2 linked regions of the Diceros bicornis minor genome follow. The protein of the gene in region 1 binds, or shares a complex with, the protein of each later gene. Links are inferred from orthologs where the notes say so. Each region holds a gene or a part of one and is shown on either strand. Other genes may lie near its edges.

What was found.
Region 2: the proteins of XKR8 (region 1) and BSG are in contact, whole or in part, in a cryo-EM structure (PDB 7DCE), measured with the Homo sapiens proteins. The link is inferred for Diceros bicornis minor from reciprocal best matches to the Homo sapiens genes XKR8 and BSG. Residues at the interface, in NP_060523.2 of Homo sapiens: His232, Leu236, Val239, Leu242, Trp243, Leu246, Gln247, Arg280, Gly283, Arg284, Ile287, Phe291, Ser294, Asp295, Leu298, Ala301, Thr302; in NP_001719.2 of Homo sapiens: Trp326, Pro327, Gly330, Ile331, Glu334, Val335, Leu338, Val339, Ile341, Ile342, Phe343, Tyr345, Glu346, Lys350.

What each region holds. Positions count from the first base shown.
Region 1 is NC_080752.1:43,432,508-43,441,984, reverse strand, and holds the start of XKR8 (XK-related protein 8), read right to left. Parts: upstream 3,522-9,477; 5' UTR 3,366-3,521; coding exon 3,073-3,365; intron 1,056-3,072; coding exon 859-1,055; intron 1-858. Other genes in the region: SMPDL3B (acid sphingomyelinase-like phosphodiesterase 3b), read right to left, coding at 4,015-4,622, 4,759-4,837, 7,038-7,171, 7,257-7,437, 8,575-8,747.
Region 2 is NW_026691553.1:241,016-250,098, reverse strand, and holds the start of BSG (basigin), read right to left. Parts: upstream 4,200-9,083; 5' UTR 4,165-4,199; coding exon 4,098-4,164; intron 1-4,097.

The sequences.
Region 1 (9,477 bases):
ATCTTGAACAGCCATGGAAACTGAGGCCAGAGAGGGGAAGACTGCCTGGGTCACACAGCAAGTGATGGCAGAGTGGGGACTGGTTCCTTGGGAGGCTGTGGTGTGTACAGCAGGGGGCCCTCAAGGTGTGTAGGGGTGGTAAAGGAGAAGGGGGAGCCCTGGACCTCGAATCAGATGGCAGTTGGAGTCCTAGGTGGGCCGCCAGCTGGCTCTGTGACCTTGGGCAATTCTCTTCCCTTTTATAAGAGAAAACCCTCCCAGCACTCCTCACTGTACAAACTTCCCCCGGTTTATGAGGCCACCTGCCTCTCCCTTTTCAGATCACTCAACACATGTTACTTAACTACCTGCTTTACAGTCTATCATCCTGGCAGGGCAGGGGCTGTGTCCCAGTTCACTGTGGTGTCCTTGGCACAGGGACAGGCACAAAGGTGCTCAATAAAACTTGAGTGTATGAAGGAGCTCAATAAATTGTTTATTGACTAACAAATTGTCTATTATCTGTCAGGCACCCTACACACTTTATCTTCAAAATAGTAAACATTATCCTCAAAATAGTAAAAATTACAATTAAAATGTATTATGCACCAGGCTTCATATGCATCACCTCACTTAATCCTTTCATCAGCCCTATGAGGTAGGATCATTTATTATGTCCATTTTACAGATGAGAACAAACCCATACTCAGGTTGAATCATTTGTCCAAACTCATATGGCTAGAGAGTGACTTTGGATTTGAAGCCAGACCTGCCTGACTAAAGGATGTTCTCCTATTTGCTAAGCAGCCCTTATAAGAGTGAAAACATTTTGACATTTGTAGGAAACGTTCCCAAGCCATAGGGGGGTGCGTCACTCACACTGGTAGTACTCGACCTGGCCACTCTGCAGAATGATGGCCAGCACCAGCGTGAGCTGCGGTGTCGTCTCCAAGAAGGTCTCGAAGAGTCGCAGCATGCTGATGTCCAGGGAGAGGAAGTCGGCGTAGGCCATGTCAAAGTCGGAGGGCACCTCCTGCTGCCAGACCAACAGCCCCTGCCGCAGCCCCTGCAGGCACCTAGGCACATACAGATGCCCCAAGGGGCCAGGTTAGTGTCCTCGGCTATTCCTCTCTCCCCTAACCTATCGGGTGGATGCAGACAGACCTCCAATCCTAGCTTGTCACTAACATGCTGTGGGGCCTTGGGCAAGCGACTTCACCTCACTGAACTTGCTTCTTCATCTGTAAAATGGGGATAAACACAACTACTGCTGGCCAGGCAATGTCCCAAGCTCATCACAAATCTTGTCCCCTTTACTCCCTACAACATCCCGATTTTACAGATGGGGAAACAGCACCAAAGAGCTAATGAGGGTGGAATCAGGATTTGGATCCAAAGCTGTTTGAATTTGAAAGACATATGAAATTGCCTAAGGTGCTAGTTCTCAAATTTTAGCATGCTTAAGAATTTCTTGGGATCCTATGGGGCAGGGGAGCCATTGAGAGCTTCTAAGCATAGGCAGATAAGTCAGATTGTGCTTTAGAAAAATTACCACGGCTGTGAAGAGGAGGAAGGGTGGGAGGGGTTGGATTGGAAGCAGGGATCCATTTAAGAGGCTGTTGTAACAGTTCAGGGAGAAAGCATGAGAGCCTGACCAGAGTGGTGGAGACAGAGACCAGGGCGGAGTCAAAAGAGTCCAGAGTGGACAGACAGGCCTGGGTGACCCACTGGCACGAGGCAGGAATAGAGGATGCACCAAAGTCTTGCCCACTCAGAACTGATCTCAGTTGGCCACAGGAAAGGGAGCCCATATACTCACTGCAAATTCATTCATCATTGGTTACTGACACTTCCCCTGAATGGACTTGACAACACACTAAGGCAGCAGGCAGGCAGGCCTGGGTCAGGGCTCTCTCTCAGCAGAAGCCTCTGCCTCTGGTCCCCCAATACCTGGCAGGGGCCCCTGCCTCAGCCTAGTCACAGGCAGGAACAGAGACCCTGTTTCTAAACCAAAGCTCCATATAGTCTGTCTGCCTCACGCTCAACAGAAATAGGGAAGGGAGGATGCGTGGCGTAGTTGCGGATTCAGGGCTCACTGAGACCTGCCAGGACCGTAATAACTGTGCCCCTCCCCGCCCACCCCAGGTTTAACTGATGCCCGTCTGGTCCCTCAGACAAAACTGCAACATTCAAAGCTCCACTTGTCCCTCCTGGAGAATCGATGCAGCTTTGTCAAGGCAAGATCTGGACAGAAATTGTAAAAATGCATCCAAGAGTGAATCCTGGCTCCAGCCACCCCATCCCAACCCAGACCACACCACGTCCTGACTTCGTCACAGGACTGACCCCTGGCTTTCAGTTTCCCCAACTCTATAGGGCCCTGCCAGTTCTGAAAAGGCTGGCTCCAGGGGCAAGGATGAGTCAGACCCCATCTCTGCCCTCTTGCTCAGTCTGGGGGTTTTTCCAGGTCTCATTTTTTTCAGTCCTCATCAGAGGCCCGAACTACGACCATCCCCACCGGAACGGGGCGGGGAGGAGGGGGGCGGCGGCGGGGCGGGGGTTGTCAAGTGACTTGCCCAAGACTCCACCCACAGCTAAAAGAACAGCCTAGTGTTGAACCGAGTCTGGGGGTCTTTGCCATCACAACAGAGTCCAACATGTGCCAAGCGCCGGGCTAGGCGTTTTCCCTCTCTCCTCACAACAGGCCCGCCTGCCAGCCCTAATCTAGATTACTACTTCCTTTTAACAGAGGAGGAAACCCAGGCTCAGAGAAAGGCAGGAATGAAGCCACAGGCGGGAAAGCCAGGACTGGATACCAGAGAGGTCTGACTCCAAACCATGCGCCTCCCTTTTTTCTCTGGGCCTCAGTTTCTTCCCCTGTGCCAGGAAGAGCAGGGCTAGATGAGCGCTGAGGGTTGTCAGCGGGAGCTCTCTCTCTTTGAGGGACGGAGAACTTACCTGTAGGTAGAGGTGCCCAAGGGGCTTAGTTTCCTCTCCTGGGTCCTGGTCCTCTCCTCCCCACCCTCTTCCCAGCTGCAGGAAGTGCCGCTGGGCTCCGTTCCCCCTCCCTCCTTCCGAGGGCGGGGCGCTCACCTGTACAGGTAGCCCAGCTGCAGGAGATGCAGCAGCGCCAGGCAGCGGCCCGGGGGCTGCGGAGCGTGCAGGCCGGCGGGGTCGGCGCGCAGCCAGACCCAGCTGAAGAGCTGCATCGCGACCGAGGCGAGGCCCAGCAGCGCCAGCACCAGCGCGGCCCACAGGTAGCGACCGCTGAGCACGTACTGGCCCGCGGCCCATAGGTCAGCGCCCAGGTCGATCAGGAAGGCGGCGGTGCCCAATACGCCCAGGACCAGGTCCCTAAGGAGCGCGGCGTGGGGTGACCAGGGCATGACCCACCAGCCTCTCCCCCTCCTTCTCTTCTTCGGCTTGGACCCGCCCTCCGGGCCCCGGGGTCTTAGCTGCAGGAAGGAGGCGGGCACAGCCCTCGGGGCCGCCTAGGGCCGGGGCCTGCTGGGCGGGACTTCCCTGTCCCGCCCTGTCCGGGGAGGAGCAAGACCCGCGTACCTCGCGTCTGGGTTGTCCGTGGTCCCCCACCCCCGTCCTGCCGCGTCACTGACGGACTTGCGGGGCTCTGGCCTTGCATCCTGCCTTGGGATTCCCCCCACCTAGCCCTCCGATCCCCGAGGACCGCTGGGCCCTAAGACTGACCGTCCGAGGCGCACCGCCCTTAGCCTAGCAGGCTTCTAATTGCCTTGTATTGCATTTGTCCCTCCAGGAGGCCCAAGACAGCGAAAGGGGCCCAGAAATTAGCGCCGGCGCTAGAACTGCAATCCCTTCACATCTGCATTGTTGCAAAACAAAACAACAAAACAGAAAGGCCTGTCGCAAACTAGGTGTGCCTCAAGTTCGGGCCATGGGCACAGTACTGAGGGCACAGGACCAACAAGGCGCATCTCCTTGGTGGCTCATTTCGCTCTGATTATCCGCTCGAGGAGGAGGGGAGGACGTTCAATAGCTGCAAGGGAGTTGCTTTAAACGTTATGTACATATTAAAAGGAATAATGCACAGAATAAGATGCACGATGAGCATTGTTTTTCGGATAAAACATGAAAGAAATGTGCTTCTGGTGGGGTCTTTGGTGCTTCATTTCCTGATCCGGCTGTCCCATCCCAGTTCACTCTGCGGGGGAAAAGGAGGAAAAGCCCAGCTCTCGGGGTGACGCTGCCCCCATTTACCACCGGGAAGACGAACTCAGCGTGCCAGCGGGCGGCGCCCAAGGTCACGGCGCGAGCAGCGCGCGCAGGCCCAGCAGCGCCGCGAGCAGGAGCGCGAGCCTGGGCGCGGGCGCGGCGCCGGGGGCGCGCAGGCAGGCGTAGTACGCGTCGAAGGCCACCTCGCGCAGCGCGCACACGTGCTCGGTGCGGCAGGCCTCGCCGCAGGCCTGGGTGTCGTAACTGACCGAGTTGTAGACATAGTAGCGCTGCAGCGCGCCCTGGTCGCTGGCGATGCGGCCCAGTGCCGCGTGCATGGAGCGGATGCTCGCGTTGGGCACCCCGTAGGCCTCGGTCACCCGGTACTCGAGCTCCCAGCTGGGCGCCCCCTGCGCGTTCGCCTGGCTCAGGTTCACGAAGTAGGTCACCATGTCCTAGAGAGGGGGCGCGAGGCAGGCCGGCCATGAGCAGCTGTACGGTTCCACCCCAATCCTGTACCTTGCATTTGCCCCCAAATTCTCTATAGCCGTAATAATGACCACTATTAGTTACTGAGCATTTACTACTTACCAGGTATGCTTGGCAGACATCCTCTGATTGAATCTGATGAGGTAACTGTGCTTATTAGCCCCATTTCACCTATGAGAAACTGAGGCCTAAAGGGGTTAATGCCTTTGGCCAGGGTCCTACAGGTGTTCAGTGGCAGAGGCGGGATTGGAACCCAGGTTGTTTACCCCATGGCCCGTGCATTTTCTGTCCCAGCAAGCACAGAAAATGCTCAGTAAATATTTACAGAGTGAATGGATAAAAAGCAACTTAAAAGAAGTGGGACAGAGTGCCTGGCTGAGAGAGGTTATAGAATTGTGGTTGATGGGGGCTTGGGATACACCCAGGACCCCCTAGGACTCAGGTGCATTTTCAGGACTAGAATCTGGAAGGGTTTATCTGTCCAATAATATCCACTTGAATATATGGACCTGCTTCAGGGCGCTAGAGGTGGGGTAAGAGGAGCTGCCATGTATGGATGACAGCTTCCTGCTGGGCACATGACATTATTTCAGTTAGTCCTCCCCACCCCTGTGAGGTACTGTTACTCCCATTTTACAGATGAAGCAACAGAGGCCCAGAAAGGTCAAAAAGCTCATGAGTCCTGAAGCCAGGATTCAAACCTACGTCTGTCTGACTCCCTCCCTGAGAAGGATGTAGGGCCTTCTGCGTGCCCATGTGGACAACTGGCCATACTCTAAAAATCCTCAGGCCTCGTCTCCATCCACATTTACTCTGGAACAAAGGACCTGGGTTATCTCCTCCAGTCCCTGGTTTTAAATGGCCTTTCTCATCAACCAGATTAAGTCTCTATACCCACCTCTTCCTGGAACTCCAGCTTGAACACCCAACTTCCTCTTCCCTCGGCATTTTCATTTGGATGCCATTTAGACATCCCAAAGTGAACAGGTCCAAACCAGACTTCTGATCTTCCCTCCAAAACCTGCACTTCGACAGTGTCCCATTTCAGTAAGCGGCAGCCTCATCCTTCCAGGTGCTCAGGCCAAAGCCTTGGAGTCCTCCTTGACCCCTCTCTTGCTCTCACACCCCTCATCCAATCCACCAGCAAATCCTGTCCGCTCTGCCTTCGAAGTACGTCCAGGATCTGGCACTTCTCGCCACCCCACTGCTGCCACTCTGGCCCCCGCCACCCTCCCTTCTCAGTGGTTCCTGTGGTGACCTCCTCACCGATACCCTACTTCTGCCCTTGCCCCCAACAGCCTGTTCTCTGCACAGCAGACATGGTGACTTTGTAAAATTGTAAGTTAAAATATTTAATTCATCTGCCCCAAACTCCCCAAATGCAGAGTCCTAATGATGGCCTACGTGATCTGACCTCATCCCTCCCACTCTCCCCTTATCCTTCCACCGCAGCCACACTGGTCTCCCTGTTCTTCCTCTAACACACCAAGAACATCCCCACCCCAGGGCCTTTGACTTGCTCTTCCTCCGCCTTCCCCTGATGCTCACATGGCTTGCTCCCTGAATTTACTCAGAATTCAAATGTCACCCTATCAGGGACACTTCCCTGCCCCACCTACCTAACAGCACACAACACACCCTGTAACCGTCACTACTTGTCTCCTCAGTGTGTTTTCGTTTCTCCATAGCTCTTCTTCCTGTGCCATACTTTACTTACTCCTTTATTGTCTGTCTCCCATAAGAAGGTCAGATCCAGGAGAGCTGAGGCTGTTTTTGTTCACTTATGTATCACCTGAGCTTAGCACATGGCAGATGCCTGGTACATTTTGTTGAATCAATTAAGGAATAATATTTCTTTGTCATTTCAACAATCACAAGCACATCTCAGGAGGTGAGGGATGGCTCGATGCCTTAGGGGCCTGCTATGGCTGGGGCCTAGTTGGTGTAGGGAAGCAGTGGGTAGGAGGCCCGAGGTCACACTGTGGGAGGCCTTGACTATGAGGTCAAGGAGATCCAACTTGTTTTGGGGGCACTGGGGAGCCATTGAAGGTTTTTGAGCAGGAGAGAGAGAAGTGCTTTAGAAAGATTAACTCTTTCTGTAATGTGTAGCAGATGAGCTACAGCAGGGCAGGGCTAGGAGGCTGTGATCCAGGGCCAAGAGAGATTTGGGGAAGAAGAATTGACCTGACTTGGTGGCAGGGTTGGGAGGTGGCTCTAGGGTTCTGAACCTGAGCTCTGAAAGGATGGAAGTAACTTGAGCTTCCTGAGGCTCAGTGGTCAGCAGAGGGTGGGTTAGCTGGGAGAGAGTTAGGGAAGGCAGTGAGGTGTCCAGGTCCCTCCCCTCCCTCCTCCTCTGACCCCAACAGACCAGGGCTCCTGACCTGCAGGCTCAGTGTGGCTTGGTCGTATTCGAACACCCGGATGCCTGGATTGTTGGCCCCGTTGACCACTCCAGGTAACGTGGTTTTCCATGGGGTGACCCCAGGTGTAATGAACATGACACTGATGGGGGCACCTTTCAGGAGAAAGACAGTGGGACTGAGAGAGGCCGGCCAGAGAAGGAGGGAGGTGGGCTGGCAGTTGCCCTTCAGGTTGAGTACCTGCATCATCATAGAACATTCGAAAGCTGTCGGTGTGGTGGTGCCCGAAGAACTGCCCTGCGATGACTCGATGGTGCTTCTGGACCACCTTCAGGTACTCCTCGTTGAAGCCCTCCCGGAACCATGCCTTGTTTCGTGTCTTCTCAAAGAACCCCGGGGGCACGTGGCCAATAATGTATACCTACAGGGAAGGGGTGTCCAGGAGGAGCTCCGAGATGTCCTCCTCAACCCCTCATTGCCCCCTCTCCAAACCTGCCTTTCTCCCCAAAGGCAAGCAGACAGGCTCAAATGTACCTCCTCCCCCGAAAGACTACCTCTGGCAGATTCCGGCACTCTCTGTACCCAGCAATGAATGTCCCACACACTTCCCCACTTCTGTGCCTTTGCCCGTGCTATGCCTGCCACCTGGAGTACCTTTCTCATTTTCACTTCTGTAAATCCTACTTGTAGTTCAAAACCTAGCTCAAAGGGCACCTCCTCATGAAACCTTCCTGATCCTTCGGAGACTAGTCTTCTCTCTTGGAGAGCTCAGGCCCTGTCACTAAACCTTCCTTGCCTGGTTGTGTAGCACATGCTATGTGGTAATGTGTGTTCACGTCTTACATTGCTTGAATCACTCAGCTAACAATACCTGGGCCCTTGGCCACCATTGCAAGAGGTAGAATGGGGGGTAGGGGGAGAGCAGTTAAGAGCATGAGCTTTGGAGTCAAACTGCATCTTGGACACCAGCTGTGGATCACCTCTCTGAGCTTCTGTTTTCACATCGGGAATAGCACCTAACTGGTGGAGTTTTCAGAAAATGAGATAATCCATATAAAACACTTAGCAACGTGCCTGATGCATAGTGAGTGCTCAGAAGCACCGGCCGTGAGATTCTGCTGGGATGTGCTGGTCAGTGCAGGACTCAGGAAAATGAGACACAGGGCTAGTCCTCAGGGAGCTGCCAGCCCAGCAGACTAGATGGACCACCTCCAGGGCAGGGCATCCCTTTATGTGGGCTGCAGCTGTGGCATGTCGGGGCAGTGGAAAGAGCACTGGACTTGGAGTCTGGAGACTGAGGTTCTAGTCTCAGCTCCACCACTTATTGTGTGACAGGACGGTCACCACCCCTCAGGAGCCTCACATCTGCAATGGGCTCCAGGGTCCCAGCCTCACATGCTGTTGTCAGGATGGAACAAGCCCCCTCCTGGTGCTGGGTTGATGAAGGACCCTCTGTGATGTGGGCATCTCGGGTTGGGTGGGTGAGTTTGTGCGGAGGCGGCAGACCTGTTCAGGAAGTGACCCCAGAGAGGGAGGAGGAGGTGGCAGCAGCCCTTACCATTTCCCCAGCTCGGGATGCATTGGTCAGCACGTCTTCCAGCCACTGGAACTGCTGGCCGGGGTCGGCCATGCCAGCTGTCTGCTCATTGTTGCTATAGTACAGATTGGTGTTGAGGACCACGATTCGCCCAGCCCCACTCGGCCCCAGCAACTTCTCAGAATAAAAGGCACCTGGAACATCACAGCCAGGGAAAATCTGAAGGGGTCCTCTGCCTCTGACCAGACACGCCTCTGCCCCCTTCACTTCACTCTCTCACCTTCTCCTTCCCTTGCATCCTCCCTTCCCATTTTTCCCACAGGAGGGGCATCATGAGTAAGACCAAAGATTCTGGAGCCAGGGTGCCTGAGTTCAAGCCCTGGCTCTATCACTTATTAGCTGTGCAACTTGGAAAAGTTAACCTCTCTATGCCTCAGTTTCCTCCTCTGTGTAATGGGAATAACAATGAGGTGTGTTTGCCCCTCCAGATCCACTGTCAACCCTTCTCCACTCAGCTCTCTGCTCCAGGAGCTGATCTATGTGAAGTAAATCAATAGGCTTCTATGCCATGGGCTTCTGCTTGGGTTTGGCCAATGGGGAGCCCCAACAGCAGGGAACTGAGGGAAAGGGAAGAGAGTAGGTAAGGGGAACCTTGGGCTGGCTGTGTCTCTGATCAGTGGTTCTCAACCAGAGGATCTTGTGCCCCAGGGAATATTTGGCAATGTCCAGAACATTTTTCGTTATTGCAACAGGGGTGTTTCCGGCATCTAGTGGGTAAAGGCCAGAGATGCCGCTAAACATCCTACAGTACATAGAACAGCCCCCACAGCAAAGAATTATCCAGCCCAACATGTCAATAGTGGCAAGGTTGAGAAACCCTGCTTGAACTGATGGTCACTGCGCCTTCCTGGGGTTGTTGCGAGG
Region 2 (9,083 bases), on another chromosome or scaffold:
CCTGACTCATGGCGGGCAGGGCCCCTGAGACCCGGCCAGTCGTTAGGAAACCTGAACCTCAAACCCAGAAGAGCAGCAGTCTCTCTGAGAGGCTTGTTCTAGAACGACAGCACTCTGAGGTCCTGGCATTGCAGCCCCGACCCTGTCCCTTCTGGACTGCCTGTAGAGAGCCCTCGCTCCCTGGCTGCATGTCCAGTCGGGGAGAGGGTGGCCTCCTCGTGTAGACAGGGCTCACTGGAGGCCAGTCCTCAGCCCCACCCCTGCCCACCTGCCAGCCTTTCCTTTAAAACAGGACACGGAGGGGCCGGCCCTGTGGCTTAGCGGTTGAGTGCGCGCGCTCCGCTGCTGGCGGCCCGGGTTCGGATCCCGGGCGCGCACTGACACACCACTTCTCCGGCCATGCTGAGGCCGCGTCCCACATACAGCAACTAGAAGGATGTGCAGCTATGACATCCAACTATCTACTGGGGCTTTGGGGGAAAAATAAATAAATAAAATCTTTAAAAAAAAACACAAAAAACAAGACACGGAGACACGAGTCCCAGGACCCCAGCGAGCCAGCAGGAAGGGCAGGGAGGCTCCTCTGCCGCTCCCGGGCATGCACATGCACGCACACATGCAGACGGCACACATGTGCACGTCTTCGCACACACAGGGCACACAGCACAGCACAGCAGGCTGCCGGCCCCGGGCCCCAGGGCCGGGGGTGGACTCAGGACAGGCCCAGGGCGCGAGGCTGGGAGCTTCTGTGGCTGCGCCGTGTTCACAGGAGGATCTGCCTCCATGTTGCTCAGGACCCAAGATTTCCCGAGAGCAAAACCAGCACCGCAGGCGGTGACTCAGGGCAGGAAGAAGGCCGGGGCCTCCTCCCCAAGCGGCCGCCTCGACGCGACTGCGCTCCCATCCCTCACCCGGGCTGCCCTCACCTGGGGCTGCCAGACAGGAGCTGGGGCAGATCCCGTCCCAGCCGCCCCCAGGGCGGGCCCCCACCCCTCCTCCCTCCCCGGGGGTCAGAGGACCCACAGGCCCACACCCCGGCCCGGCCTGAGGGCCACACGCTGCAGGGGACCGTGCCAGGCCCCACCTGGGCCACCTGGCCGCCCGTCCCACCACAGCGCCCTCTCTGTGGACTGGGCACAGGCAGCCACGTCTGCTGTGTCCCCAAGGGGCACCTCAGGCGTTACAACAGTGGTGGCCCTCACTGGGATCACCACACAGACACTTGCCGCTACAGGTAACGTTATATCTGTGATGTGGAAACACCGCTGGGACAAGGCCAGCGGGGGTCACAATGGAAAAGGCTTGGAACAACGCCCTCCAGCCCCCTCGGCCCCGCCCACCTCGGGGAGCACCCCCCAGAATCTACAGGGAGCCTCCACCCCCAGAGCCGGGAGCAGGGCGGGCGCCTGGCCCTCCGCCACCCTGGAGACGTGAGAACTCGACTCGGGCCACATGACCAGAGCCCACGTTCTCAGTAAAGTCACCTTCATCTAAAAACAGCCACCCCTCCCGTGTGTCCGCTCGGGGCAGGGCCGGGCTTGGGCAGGAGGCCTCGTGGCAAACAGCCCCGGAGCGCTCAGGACGGCCGTCGGGCGCCCCTCCACCCCACCCGCCGCAGAGCGGGAGCCCAGACGGGAGGGGACGCCAGCCAGGCTCTTCCCCTCCATGCCTCACCTGAGGACCAGAGAGACCACGGCACCGGCCCGCAGGACCCAGCTAGCAAACCGCTGCCCGCCCCAGCAGGACGACGGCACCCTGGACAGGCCCGGGCAGGGCCAGGGTCTCCCGGCAGGGCGTGAGAAGCCGAGTGCCAGCCTCTCGGCACCCGATGCTCGAATGGAGGAAACCGCCCCTGGCAGAGGCCCCGAAGAAAGCTCCTAGGACTGACCCGTCCAGGAGAGGCGAACACTCCACTAAGCCCCTCACCCACCCCGGGAGAAGAGGCCGGCACCCCGACTCTCAGATCCCCCCTGAAGCCCCTGGGAACGGTGGAGCCGTCACAGGGAGAAGGGGAGGCCCGGGCGCAGCCCTGGGAGAAGCAGGAGGCCCGAGGCCTTCCCACCCGCTGGGCCATCGAGGGCCTCGTCCAGAGGGCTGAGGGGCCTATCTCCCGCGCGCACCTTGCCCGCAGGCTCCTATCTGCCCGCAGGCTCCTATCTGCCCGCAGGCTCCTATCTGCAGGCAGACAGCGGGCAGGCTGGCCGCAGGCCAAAGGCCCCGGCCCGGAGGCGGTCAATAAATGGTCATTCTGATCATAAGGAAGGAGGCGTGGACCGAGACCTTAAAGTGGGTCAGGGGTAACCGGGTGAAGCGTGTGCCACAGCAGCCCCTCCCAGCCCTGCTCGGGACAGCCGCCGGAGCCCGGACCCTTCTGGGCTGCACTTTGTCCCCTCCACGCCGGGCACCATAAATCTTTAACCCAGAACCGCAGAACGAGTCTCGGCACAGGAAGGAGTCATCCCTCTCCGTCGTGCTTTCTTCTGGAAAAACGGTCTTATCACACGTTCCCAGCCGCTTCCTCCACACCAGACGTCTGGCCGCCCCCACCTCGGCCCACGCCCGTGAGGGCCCGGGGCCCAGCCCGCCTGAGTCTGCAAGCAGCCCTCTGCGCTCCGGCAGCACACGGCGACCTTGAACATCTCCCCTCTCGACCCAGGCTCAGTTTCCACGCCGCAACAAGAGTAAGGGGCACCAACACCACCTCGTTCTGGGCCCCGAAATCAGACAAGACCAGAAGAAGCAGAGCGTGCGGGCCCCTGCAAGGGGTCAGTGTTGGGGCGGACACGGGGCAGGTCCCAGCGCGGCCCACGGGACCTAATCCCGGGAGGAATGACAATCCCTTCCAGCTCCCGGGAGCGGCCGCTTCCTGAGCATGTGGCTCCTGCACCCACTTGGGGACAATACCCACTTTCCAAATGAGAGCCAAAAGCCCCGGGGTGGGGGTGGGGCTCTCCACTGCACCCCTCCCCAACACTCCCAGGGCAGGGGCCCCACTCCCTAGCTGCCTCCCCAGGCCACCAGGCTCCAGCTGCTCAAGGACGGGGGGTGGGGGGGGGTGGGGGGGGGTGTCCCTTCCCTGGAGAGATGCGTGGGGGTGCCTCCAGATCCTCTCCCCAGGAGTCCTCATCAGGGGGTCAGGCCAGTTCAGGGCTCCTCCCCTCCCCCAATCAAGAAAATCAGACTTCACTCCAGTTCTTCCCTAGTCAGGCCCGTGGGGCCCCCTAAGCACAGATATCCCCCTAGCACTGCGCCCAAGGAGCCCCCGGGGTCCCCCCAAACCCCAGGGAGCCCACCCAGCACTGCTCCCCCCAGAACTTTCCGCAGCCTCTCCTGAGCCCCCTCAAACCCTGGGACCCCCTGCAACACCCCAAGTCCCCCCGAACCACGGGAACCCACAACACTGCGACACCCAGAACTGCCCCCAAGCCCCCCACAGTACCTCAGTGGGCACCCCCACATCCACACTACCACTCCTGGGATCTTTCTGGTCCCCTCAAAACCCAGAATTCCCCCAGAACTGCCACACCGGGTAACCCGCTGGGTCCTCCCAAACCACAGAAACTCCCCCGGCACTGGGATCCCCCGGAACCCGCTTGAGCCCCCCAAACCACGGGGACGCCCACATGCCGCCCCCGGGGAACCCGCCGCGTGCCCCCACTCCCCGGCCACCCCCTGCACTGCCGCCCCCGGGCATTCCTCGGGTCCCCACAAACCCCGGGACCACCCCCCACACTGCTGACCCCGGGAACCCCCCAGGTCCCCACAAACCCCGAGGACCCCCCGGCATGCCGTTCCCGGGAACCCCTCGGGTCCCCACGAACGCCGGGGAACCCCCCCGTATGCCGCCCGTGGGATCTCCCCGGGTCCTCCCAAACCCCGGGGACCCCCTCCATGCCGCTCCCGGAAACCCCCCGGGTCCCCCCAAACCCCAGGGACCCCCTCCCCAACTGCCGCCCCCGGGAACTCTCAGGGTCCCCCCAAACCCCGGGAAGCCCCCCGCATGCCGCCCCCGGGAATCTCCCGAGTCCCCACAAACCGCGGGGACCACCCGGACTCCGCAGGCCCCGAGCCCGCCTCCCCGCACCCGCTGGCCTCACCTTGCCCGGAGCCACCCTCGCCGCCCAGCAGCACGAGCCCCAACACGACCACCAGAGCGGCCGCCATGTCACCGCCGTCCCCGCCGCAACCGCCGCCGGCGGCGCTATAAGAACCGGGCGGCCGGCCGGGCGCGCGCACGCAGGGCGGCGCCGGGGGCGGGGCGGGGTGCGCAGGCACGTCGGCCGCCGTCTGCGCACGCGCACGGGTGCACGTACGCACGCGCTGGCCCGGGCAGGCTCGCGCTACGGAAGCCGGGGCGGCAGCACCACGTGACCCGGGCAGGCCACGCCCCGCGGCCTGGGGCGTGGCCGCGTTGCTAGGAAACAGGGGGGGCCCGCGCGGGCGGGGCTGGGAGCCTGGTTTCCCTTCGTTCTTTCGGAAACGTTGTTGGAACGGAGCTGTGCACCCAAAAGGGGCTAAAATGCTCCATTTATACTATGTGTGTTCTGTCACGACACGAAAGAGAAAGAAGCATTAGAGGAGGCGATAGAGATCCCTGTGAACAGGTGCACGTGTGCCCTGGGGCGGGGGGCTGCCAGATTTAGCAAAAAAAACACCCGGACGCAGTTAAGTTTTAAGTTTAAGACAGAGAACGAGTGACTTCTTAGTGTAAGTACCCGTGCAATATTGGGACATACTTATTCAAGGGAAGTATGGCTATTTATCTGAAATTCAGGTGTAACCGGCTGTCCTATATTTGCCTGGAAGACCTACCCTGGGGTTTGTCTTACAACAAATACTTTAAAAAACGACAATTTCAAGCAAAAACAGGATCATGTAATCTTCGTGACCCTGGGCTAGGCAGTGGTTTCTTAGACGTGACACCAAAAGCGCAAGCAACAAAGGAAAAAATAAATAGGACTTCATCAACATTACAAACTTTTGTGCCTCAAAGAATACTAAGAAGAAAGTGAAAAGCCAACACACAGAACGGGAGAAAATATCGGTGAATCGTATCTGATAGGGACTTATATCTATAATACATAAAGAACGCTGACAACTGGATAAAAAAAAAGACGCACGACCCTGTTAAAAAACGGACGAAGGATCAGAATATACGCTTCTCCAAAGAAGACACAGAAACGGACGACAAGTACATGAAGAAGGGCTCAGCATCCTGAGCCATCAGGGGAATGCAAACCACAACCACAGTGAGACAGCAGTTCACACCCGCTGGGACAGCTCGCAGCGAGAACGCGGAAGACAGCAAGTGCTGGTGAGAAGTGGAGACACCGGAGCCCTGTGCACAGGTGGCGGGATGGAAGATGGTGCAGCCCCTGCGCAGAACATGGGCAGGGCCTCAGAAGGGTAAACCAGAGTTACCATCTGACCTGGTAATTCCACTCCCCACAAGAACTGAAAATCCACGTCCACGTGGAAACTTGTACGTAAGTGTTCACAGCAGCATGATTCGTAACGGCCAAAAAGCAGAACAGCCCAAATGCCCATCGATGGATGAATGGATCCACACAACGGATCCATCCACACACTCGAATACGACACAGCCATCAAAAGGAGTGAAGCCCTGACACAGCTATACTGTGGACGGACCTTGAACACACGATGCTCAGTGAGAGAACCAGACACAGAAGACCACACGGTGTGTGATTCCATTGATGTGAAACGTCCAGAACAGGCACATCCACAGACAGAGAGTGGGTTCATGGTTGCCAGGGGCTGGGGGATATGGGTGAGGAGTTACTGCTGATTGGGTGGGATTGCTTTCTAGGGTGATGAAAATGTTCTGAAATTGAATGTGGTGATGGGTGCACAACTCTGAAATGTACTAAACCCACTGAGCTACAGACTTTACTTGTGTGAATTGTATGGTGTGTGAATTATCTCAATTAAATATAGGGTAATGTGCTTTAGATAAGGGGTCAGGGACGCGAAGACATACAAGGTGACAAGAACAAGGAAACAGTGGCCACAGTAAGGGGTGAGCGGTGTGTCTGGGAACAGCCTGTCTGGCCCGGGGAGGCAGGTCCAGGGAGGAGGGTGGGCAGAGCCGGCAGAGTCCCAGCTTTGGGGGGCTTTGGAGGAAAACGTGGGAAGGATGTGGCAGAGGGGCCGGGACTTGCTGATGAAGGGGTTGTGGGTGAGGACCTCACTCCTGGGGCCTGGAGCCTCAGAACCGCCCGGGAGCCAACCAGAAGCCCCAGCCCCAGGCCCATCCGGCTTGTTGAGGCCGCACGCAGGGGGGTTGAGAGCTACGTGCAGAATGGGGGAGGAAGGCCGCCAGCTGGCTTCAAAGCCCCTGGCCTGGGCAGGATTTCTGGCCCCCGCCCCGCCCTCGCTGGGCTGGGCTGCGGACAGATCTCATGGGAAATATCAGGGCTGCCGGGAAGCCTTTGTTTACGGAACAAAGCTGTGCCTCCTTGAAGACCCAGTTTTCTGTCCCCCTCCCCGATCCCCGCTCTGTTCTGTCCTGGCCTCACCCTGGGGCAGGCGGCTCCCTGTCCCCCTCTGCCTCCACGGAGAGGCCAGCCAGGGCCACGCGGGCTGGGTGGCCAGATTTACCAAACGGAAATACAGGACACCCAGTTACATTTGAAGTTCAGATAAAAAAAAAAAAAAATCAGTACCTTTTTAAGTTATCAGTAGGTCCCACGCAGTATCTGGGATATACTGATCCCCAAAATTGCCTGTCCTACGTCTGAAATTCAAATGTAACTGAATTTGGCGTCTTCCATCGGCATCTCTGACCCGGTCCCCTCACCCTTGTAACTCCCCTCATCGCACAGGTCACTCTCTGACCTCACGTCCATCCCGGGCCCCTTGCCTGCTGTCCGCCTGCCCGTGTGCAGGGCAGGGACAGCCAGCCTGGCCTGGGCCCTGTGCCGGGCCGCCATCTGCCCCCTGCGGGTGCCCCTAATTGGCTGTGGGCGAGTGGACATCCAGGACCCTCGCTGTCTCCCACCCTGGCCTCCGGGGCCTGCACCCCCTCTGGGAGGGCCCGGATTTCAGATCTGGCGGCTTCCTCTGACAGCAGGAGAAGGAGGCAGCTGTCTCCTCTGGCCTGGATCTCCCTCGTTCCAGCAGCTCTTGCAATCGAGGCCGAACCCCTCCCTCGGCCTCGCCCCCACTGACCCCTTCGGCCTCGGCGCCCTCCACCCACCACGCCTTTGGCCCCAGCCTCACTGGCAGTGTTTCCTGCCTCTGAGCCTTTGCCCAGGCTGTGCCCTTTCCAGGTCACTGCCTCGCCCCTTCCCTCCCTGGCAGAGGCCGTCTTGTCCCGAGGGCCTCACACTTGAGACACCGGCCGCTGTCCCATCGCTGGGTATCTGCCCTGGTTTGCTCACCTTGTGCTTTTTCTTATAAAACCTTTCAACTCACAGATGGGAGGAGAGACGACGACGTAGGATTTTCATTCTCTGTCACACCTCTGTCCCTTGCTCGAATGTTCCAGCTAGTTCTCCAGGCGTATTCTTCTGGGAGCTTGGAGATGCAGCCCGGCCCCAGGCGGTGACGGCTGGGAGAAGGTGGATTTCATTCCTGGGCCCCAGGGAGCCCGGGGAGGGATGTGAGCAGGGAGGGTCGTCCTCTCCTCTGACCTGTGTCATCGGGGGATGTCTCGGCCGCCAGGGGAGAGGCCCTGGGGGTGGGAGTGGACATGGGCAGGGGACAACAAGGCAGCTCCCAGACCCTGTGAATGGGACTTTATTTGGAAAAAGGGTCTTTGCAGATGTAATTAAGAGTCTTGATATGAAGTCCTCGTGGATAAGGGTGGCCCTAAATCCAATGACAACGTCCTTATAAGAGACAGAAGAGGAGCGACAGACACAGAGAAGCCATGTGATGACAGAGGCCGAGACTGGGGTGATGCGGCCACAAGCCCAGGACGCCGGGGCCCCCAGAGGCTGGACGAAGCAGGAAGGACCCTCCCCTGGAGCCTCTGGAGGGAGCCCGGCCCTGCCACACCGTGATCTTGGATTTCTGCCCCCAGAACCATGAGGGTGTAATTTCTGTTGTCTTAAGCCACCCAGTTGTGCTGTTTTGTTACGGCCCAGGAGTGCCCGCAGGCGGGGACCCGGGAGACACCCGGCCAGCCAGCCTGGCACTGGCGTTAAGGGCGGGCGCGTCCGTCCACCGAGTGCCACCACCACCGCCGCCCTGCGAGGGGGTCACGGGAGCCACCGCCCTCCCCACCCCCGTCCATCACCGGTATCTTCCCCAGAAAATGCAGACAGTCCCTCTAGATGAGCCTTTGGGCTTTGGACTTCTGCGCCCGTGGGTTTGTAGTCTTTTCTAGCGATGCACTCCAAAAAATAAAGATAAGACAAGACAAAGATAAATCCGTATAAGAAAGGAAGATAACCAGTCTTTCCCCAGCCTGGTCCACCAGGCTGATAACCGAGGGTTTCTTTTCGTTGACGGTTATTCATGAGTGTCAGGGACCCTTGTCGACCTCTGGTCGCTGAGCTGTAGGATTTCCTGGTTGATTTCAAGGTTTCCTCCCCAGTGTGTCCATATCTTTGTCGTAGCGGGATAAGAGGAAGATTTTTTGTTTTACAATTTTTTTTTTTTTTTTGCTGAGGAAGATTAACGCTGAGCTAACATCTGTGCCCATCTTCCTCTATTTTGTACGTGGGACGCTGCGTCAGCATGGCTGATGGGTGGTATAGGTCCGCACCTGAGATCCGAACCCGTGAACCTGGGCCACCAAAGCGGAGAGCCCCAAACTCAACCACTCAGCCACCAGGCCGGCCCCCTCAATGTTTTATTTTGAAAAGTCCTCAAACTTCAGTGAAGTTCTAAGGATAATAACCCCCCTCACCTGCATGCCCAGCCGGGGACATCTGCTCCCTCCCCCCTCTCTCCGTCTCTCCGTGTCTCTCTGTGTCTGTATCTCTGTCTCTGTCTGTCCCTGTCTCTGTCTCTCTCCCTCTCTGTCTCTGCTCTCTATCTCTGTCTCTCTCCCTCTCTCTCTGTCTCTGTATGTCTCTCTATCTCTTTCTGTCTCTCTCTCTTTCTCTGTCTCTGTC